Linked DNA regions of Caenorhabditis elegans. The protein of the gene in region 1 interacts with the protein of each later gene in a pairwise test. Each region holds a gene or a part of one and is shown in the gene's direction. Other genes may lie near its edges.

The links.
Region 2: the proteins of C31H1.5 (region 1) and skr-10 interact in a two-hybrid assay, tested with the Caenorhabditis elegans proteins (one large-scale study listed by BioGRID).

The regions. Positions count from the first base shown.
Region 1 is NC_003282.8:5,794,122-5,798,696, reverse strand, and holds C31H1.5 (Phospholipase A(2)), read left to right. Parts: upstream 1-1,902; 5' UTR 1,903-1,934; coding exon 1,935-2,026; intron 2,027-2,131; coding exon 2,132-2,238; intron 2,239-2,349; coding exon 2,350-2,447; intron 2,448-2,730; coding exon 2,731-2,938; intron 2,939-2,989; coding exon 2,990-3,187; intron 3,188-3,250; exon of another isoform or gene 3,251-3,271; intron 3,272-3,414; coding exon 3,415-3,573; intron 3,574-3,618; coding exon 3,619-3,704; 3' UTR 3,705-3,765; downstream 3,766-4,575. Other genes in the region: C31H1.1 (DUF148 domain-containing protein), read right to left, coding at 4-198, 467-848, 1,008-1,061, 1,109-1,176.
Region 2 is NC_003282.8:15,944,816-15,948,212, forward strand, and holds skr-10 (Skp1-related protein), read left to right. Parts: upstream 1-1,991; coding exon 1,992-2,570; downstream 2,571-3,397.

The DNA.
Region 1 (4,575 bases):
CACCTTGGCGTCCATATCAAGAAGCTTCTTTTCCAACTTTTCCAGCTCATCTACTGTTCCACCAACAGTTTCTTCCAGGCAATCAACGAGCTCATCATGATGTCCCCAAGTACGTTTTCCATTTTGCAGCAACTCAGCAAGTTTGGATGTTTGCTTGACAACTGTTTCAGTTGTATTTTCCACAGTTTGCTCGAGGATCTAAAAAACTGATAGATAAACCTTTCAGCATCTTGCTTATCAGAAAGACGTGCCTGACACATGCCTGCCTGCGAGCATTTTTAAATTATCAGGTTGACATTGAGGCAGGCAGGCAGGCATGATTGTGTCTGTGTGCACTTCTTCTGACAATACAACATTTTGAATGCGGAAAAATTCAAATGCATTTTTCTTGGACAATTGTTAATTGGATTTAATAATTTTGGAGATTGACGTCTCTTTATAGAAAATGTAAGCTGCAACAACTTACCGTATCCAGTTCCAGAATTCCTTCCATTTGCTTACCGAGGCACAATCTCATTTCCCGATTCTCAGTAGTTTCAACCAAAGAGCTCAATATTTGTGACGATGGAGCCAGAGATGCCAACGAGTTTCCATGGATGGTTTCCGAATACTCACTAGTCATGCTCGATGAGGATGACATCTTGAAATCTTTCGAAAATTCTGAACCATGATTTGGTGGGATGGAAGCGGTGTTGGCAGAAATCGATGAAGGAATAGTTAGAGGTTTCGAAGAAATTGTAGTGGGAATTGATTGGGTAGATTTTCCACTAGTGAACGAATCAATTCTCTTCCAGTGAGATCCAAGACTGCTGCTGTTGGCTGACATAATAGATTCCGATGGAAGAGTTCTGTAATATTAATTTGCAGAACTATTTATAATGATGTTTTAAAAATGGCAAAGGCATGGTTCGAACCAAATCACATTCATATGGTTTTGTTATAATAGCACCGTGAAACAGTCGTTTTTTGTTTAAAAATTTTTTGGAATTGCCTTCTTCATCCCTTACCTGGACTCAAATCCTGACTTGTCTCCGAGATACTCCGAAGGAATGATTGTTGAACTAAAACGAATATTTATACTTTCAAAAAAATTTTCCCAAAAACTCACTGCAACTGTTGTTGCTGATGAAGATGATTGAAATTCAAACGAGGTCCGTAATTGAAATGATCTGTCATCGTGCGAAGAATTTCAAACGGAAGACTTTTTTGATGCACAACCGTTTCAAGAAAATTATTGAGAACTGATCGATTTATCGATTCTCTGAACGTATGAGTTGGCAAACGCCACGTGAAGAATAGAAAAAAATGAAATAAAAGTTCACGTTGATGTAAAACTATTCAGAACATTTTAAAATTTAAATTAGAATTCACTTGGAAATATTTTCAATATTTTTGACGTATTTTTGAAGAGTTTGAAGCTGGAATCAACGTGTACTTATTTAGAAGGTTTTCTTGGAAGTTCACAATAAAAAAGCAATAAAATTAGCTCGGGAATTGTTGTCTCAAATACTGTTTTTATACGTTTTTTGTATGAATTGGTTAAAAGGAAATTTAAAAAAAAACTATCAAACTGCTTTTAATTGGTGTGACGCCCAATCTTTCAGAAATTTAATTTTTTCAATCAGCCGTTTCAAAATTTTCATTTAAATTTTCATTTTTCGTGTTTTTGAATTATTCAAAGCACAGTGCAAAACATCAGATTTTTTGAAATTTGGAAAACCTGCAGCTTCGTTCAATAGCATTGATTGAAATTAAGTGAATGTATTTATTTCAACTTTCAAATTATTTTGATTAATACAATTTGAAACGTGAAAAATCCAACTAGAATTTTGAACTTTTCTCAAAAAAAAAAATTCACGTAACCTCTCACCATTCTCAAACAAACCAATCATTGCCTGGTCTGAGAATTCGAAGATCAACATCAAATCAGAATAATGCTGTTCACTTTGCCATTACTTCTGCTGCTTCACAGTGTCATAGCTTTTTCTACTCCAGAAGTCCAACATCGCTCTAAACGCTTTCAGCTGTTAGTTTTATATGTTCTTTTTTTCATTTTTGAAACTGATTTTTACCTGAAAAAATATTTTATTTTGTACATTTTCAAAATGTAAACCTATTTAAATTGTTTCAGCCCTGGTCAACAAACCATTAACCCCGAGGCGTGGTTCTGTGGTGCGAGCAGGTTTCAATGGAAAATTTCTCATGAGGTCATTTCCCAAACTTGCGATGAAAAAGCAAGTAAGTTGGGCCAAAATATGTTACGTATTCAGAAATTACATATTAATCCATGAATCCTTGAGCTAGATAACAAGAAAAACACAGATTTTTGATAAATATATTGTTTTCCAGTTGAATTGAACCATTGCTGTGCTGTTCACGATTCTTGTTACGATAATATTGCTCAAACCCAAGAAGGATGTGATAACAAATTCTGTAATTGTCTTCGTGTGAGTTTTGAACTTTTTTGAGAAAAAAGTTCAAATTAAATACGTTTATTGCCAACTTTAATTTTGAAATCGATAAAAAAGTATATGTCATCACGAGGTTTTCACAATTTTTTAGAGTATGGTGCACGGGTATTAATGTAAAAATGTGGCATTCCCACGTAGCTTCAAGTATTTTTTTCCGAGGTATGTATAAGGCAACATAAAAAATTATTATAGTACCTCTACCGAAATTCAAAGAAGACTGCCAGATTAAACAGAAATTGTTAAAATTTTGATATTTCAGAATGCCATGACCAGTACAAAGGATCGCTATTTTATGTGTGCCGATTTTGTAACCGATGCTGCTTGTTCTCTTGTCAGAAAGTTTGGACATGAGCATTATGGAACAAGAACACCAGATAACAGAGAGTTGACAGCATTTCACCCAGCAACAAATCAAACTGCAAATCGTGAATACAATAGATTGTATAAATCTTGTCTTGGATTTAGAAGTCAGTTTTCTATAAAATGGGCTAACAAATAGTTCATATATTTTTTTTCAGAGCCTTTGATCAGTTGTGCCTATAGTCATTTAGTTTGTACTTTGAAAATGCGTCCATTGGATAGATATGATCAATCATATATTCAATGTCGGGAGGATCTTATCAACTGTCTTGAGGATACTACTTCATTTTTGAAAATGAGAGAAAATAAAGAGTGTTCGAATCAACTGGATATTGCATTGTATGCAATTAAACATGGTAATTTAATTACTTTATCACTATAGGAACTGGATTTGAATTTTAAAAAAGCTAGAAAAACTGCTACACTGAATTTTAACTACATTAAGAACAACATATATTTTCAATATATCACATGTCAATGAAACTGTTGGTGACTACTTCTCAATTTTTTCAAATTTAAGAGAACTCCAAATATATTACAAACAATTATTCCCTACAGATCAAAAATGTTGAGCCATTTTCAGATGCAAAACTATCTGGACTTCCATTTTATTTACATTACAAAGAAGATACAACTACCACCTCGACTACTGACACTACGACTACCATTTCTACCACTAAAAACACCACTGTGACACAGAAACCGAAAACAAATACCACAAACTCAACTGTCACTATTGAAGGTATTCATGTGGACTTTAACAATACAAGAACACTTAATTTTTCAGAAACTACACTTGAGGAAAAGACTATTGCAACTGGAAATCATACGGAAATGGACGAATTCGGTGTGTACATTGAGTCCGAAAATTAAACTACTTGAAATTGAACTGAACTCTTGAATAATGACATCTTTTATAAATTCGGAGCACTGTAATTTCCCTTAAACAACAAGTAAAGAAAATATCAAACTAAATGCGGATTTAAATGCCAAAACTCATTGCATTGCACAGTATATTCCGAATGAGGATATGAACATATGAACAACTTGAAACAGTATTCTTCGAAAATTCAAACGCGGAAATTTAAATTTTGCAAGCTCCGCATAGTTTCGAAAAACAAAAGTTGAAATTTGTTGGGGATTGAGAGACATAGAGAAAAAATTAACAAATAAACAGTGCGGAGATTACAAAATTTAAATTGCCGCACGGTTTCGTGGGCGTGGCCCCTGACTAGGATCCTCCGCCGCCGGCAATCCCCCCCCCCCCCTTCGACGGGCCTCGCTTTAAATGAAAAGTCTGAAATATTCAAATGTAATTGAAAAATGACCCATAAGACCAACAATTCGTGAATTCTAAATAAACATATATTACCAACTTGAAACAGTATTTTTGAAAAATTTCAAAGTGAGTTAAATTTAGTGCGAATTATTTTGTTTTAAATGACATAATTGTTGTGTATTGAGCGAGAGACAAGGAGAGAAGTAGTTTATTACAATAAGTGTAAGAAGTAATGAATTATAAAGAGAGGTCGCTTACGCGATAAGTTCATGATGACCCAAAGGTCACGTCTGTATAAAGTTCAGGTTTACGTTCCGTCCACAACATCTCCCCTCTTATATGACAAAAAGCCAGAAATTATGCCTGGGCTAGGGGCATCACGACCAGAGGCGGTATATCGACCTCTGCGGCGAGTGGAGGCATGATCAGTGTTTGGGGCTGATCCTCGCACAACTTGTCGTGGGT
Region 2 (3,397 bases), about 10 Mb from region 1:
ACGCTGCGTTTGTTAAAAAAATATTGATTAGTTTTCCACAGGGAGATGATGAGAAATGCCGTCAAGTTAAACGCGACGAGAAAAAGAAAATTTGACTGTTTCAATTGGTTGTTATAAACTTGGATACGATTTATATAGTATTAATACTGAACTAATTATACACATTAGAAATACTATAGGAATATGACAAGGAAAGTGCTGGAAATTAACTCAAAGATGCATACGTTTTTGTAATTGGAGAGGTGAAAAAAAAATTACTGTTTCTAAAATATACCAAATTTCGGGTAAAAATTAGGGGGTATTTCTCGGGAAAAAAATATTGGACTAATTTGCAAAGAATCAAAATTTAGGTCCGTTTTTATAAAACTGTTATGTTTGTTACTGTATTCTAGCAACTATGTTAATATTTGATCTACAAGTCTCAGACGTAGCAAGGTAGCAACCAAATTGAATTAAGTCGGAAATGGAATAAAAAATTGGAGAAACAAATAGAATGCATTGAAAAATGGAAAAAAAGAAAGAACAAAAAATGCGACTACTCACAATGAGAAGAGAATGTATAAATGACTCCTCACAATCAGGCAGACTGTTTTTTTCCAGAAAACGACTGGGACGCTGCAAATCTAGGTCAATTATTGATATTGGGTAGAGAGAGTTCAATGCATTTCTAGGAGGTTTAGAAAAACAGACAGTGCACCTGCTCTAGGATTTCCCTAACAAAGGTCTTTTCTCTCTAAACCTCGCCTATAACACAATGTCTCATCTCATCCTGTCAAAATTTGACCTACATTTCCAGCGTTTTTAACCGAAGCCAGTTAGGCTATTGGTCATTCTTGCATTTAGCTCTCACCCTGGGCAGCTGCATTTTATTTTTCCTTCTTTTTAAATTTTTTTTTTTTTTGGTTTTTCGTTCTTTTGTTTTATCAATGACCCAGAATCTGTTTGTCTGAAAACCTTAAACTTTAAGCATTCAAAGTTCTAGTCCAATTAAAAATGTTGAACTCTCTAAAACTATAATACCTGTTTGATGCAGTTTTTATAATAAACTATTTTTGAACAAATCCCGATCGAGAAATAAACTTGATAATTACTTAAAGTTGTACCACTAATAAAACCGAAAAATCACTTTAAAATTCGATTACCTATAACCTTAAAAAATATTCTGATCTTCTAAAAACCTCCTAAAATGTAATTTGAGAAAATGTCGCAATATTGCAAAAAAAATTTAAAATCAATTCTAAATTTTGCTATTTCGAGGTGTTATCAAATTTTAGCGCAAGCCTTATTCGAATATTGCATTGGGATTTGCTTTCTTCTTTTTTTTTGTAAAATTCATATCGAGGATATGTAAACCAGTTTGTCAAATTTGTTGCTTTAAACCCCTTTGGATTAATTTAGGCTTACACTATTTCAGACCACTTTTTGATCGATAAAATATTAGGGGCCTCCTCAACAACCTTGTCGGTTGATATTAAACCTTTTTAGACAAATCGATATTTTTCGAACAAACGCAGCGTTCCATGCTGTTGATTTTGCGTGTATAACTCTTCAATCAACTTTAGATGCAATACTATATAAATCTTATCCAAATGTATAACAACCAGTTGAAACAGTCAAATTTTCTTTTTCTCGTCGCGTTCAACTTGACGGCATTTCTCATCATCTCCCTGTGGAAAACTAATCAATACTTTTTGAACAAACGCAGCGTTCCAATCGATCGATTTCTAACATTTTTTGAGGGATAGTCTGTCTGCAGAGTCATTCTATCGTTTATATCTCATTGTGAGCAGTCGTCTACATTTTTTTCTATCTTTCTATACACATTTCAAAACTATTATCTAACGTTGTTACCCGAAATTATAACAGCTGTTAGATACAGTTCTTTTTTTTACTTTTTGAAATCAGATTTTCCTACATTTTCTTAACTTAATCATCTTTCTTTATTTTTTCAACCCATTATTTTTCCAGAAACTACTCTAAAACTACCAACAATGTCCGCTGAAGTCGCTGCCGTTGAAATCCAAGAAGCTCCAGTTGCTGCTCCAATCATGTACAAAGTTGAATCAAATGATGGAACAGTTTTCGAAATCAGTGATGAAGCAGTAAAACAATCAAATACACTCTCCAATCTAATCTCTACATGTGCTCCAGAAGATGTAGCTTCAATGGATCCAATTCCAATTACAAATGTCACTGGAAACATCCTGAAGATGGTCATTGAATGGTGTGAGAAACACAAAGGAGAAGCACTTCCAGTTGATGATGACAGTGTTCCAAAGCATATCACTGTTCCCGAATGGGATACCAACTTCTTGAAAATCGACAACGAAGTGCTCTTCGACTTGATTGTTGCCTGCAACTACCTTGATGTGCCTGGATTAATGAATTATGGATGCAAGATGGTTGCCATGATGGCTATCGGAAAGTCTCCTGATGAGTTGAGAATCATCTTTGCAATTCCAACTGATGAAGAGGATGAAGCTGCTGAGAGAGCTGCAAAGGAGAAGGCTGAAGCTGAGAAGAAGGCGAATGCTGAGAAGGACGCAGCTGAACCATCGACTTCCAAATAATTTCTATGTATCAAGTGTTTTGTGTTTCTTATCAAATAAATAAGTTTGACTGTAATCTTGTTGACAAACATTACACAAAATTTTTATTAACAGTTTCAAGGTGTTGTTTTGAAGAGTTATTCCTAAAATGAAATATTCCATAGCAAGGTTCTAACACAGAATGCACTTTGACTATCTTCTTGTTGAAACATTTGGAAATTTTGAAAAAAAACATCTACTGTTTCAATATGTTGATTTTAAGAGTGAGGCTAAACAAGCAACAGTAAGTTTTTATTTAACCAAAAGCAATTACGTTTGAAAATGTCACAATTAAACCTTATAAACTAGTGTTGAAAGGGCATTCAAAAAAAAACTCGCGTATCTAGTTACTTTAATTCAAAAAATTCAAAAATACCATGCCACTTTTGCGGAAAAGTTTGCAATTTTGTGCGATGCTCAAAAATGTATTCACATATATCAATTTTTATGTTGGAACGTTTACTACCTAGCAACAAGAACTCCAGTAAGCTTCCTAGTCCTGGTTTTCTACTTTCTTGTTTTTTAAAACAGAAAATGCCACCCTTGCTCCTCTTCTTGGCAATTGTTGCTTGTTTCTCAAAATGCGAAGCCATTGAGAAAATGTTCATCGTCTGGGGTGCTCCAACAATATTCTCTACTCCAATAAAAATTGAAGGTAGTTTCAAGTATCATTGTATGGATGAGTGTTTGAAGGATGCAAATTGTTTGGTGAGTAAAACTTGAGAATTAGTTTAGAAAACTTTATGGTTTCATGTGGTTTCTGAAACCGAGGATGGCTGCAATTTATATCGAAAAGGAAGGATTTACGT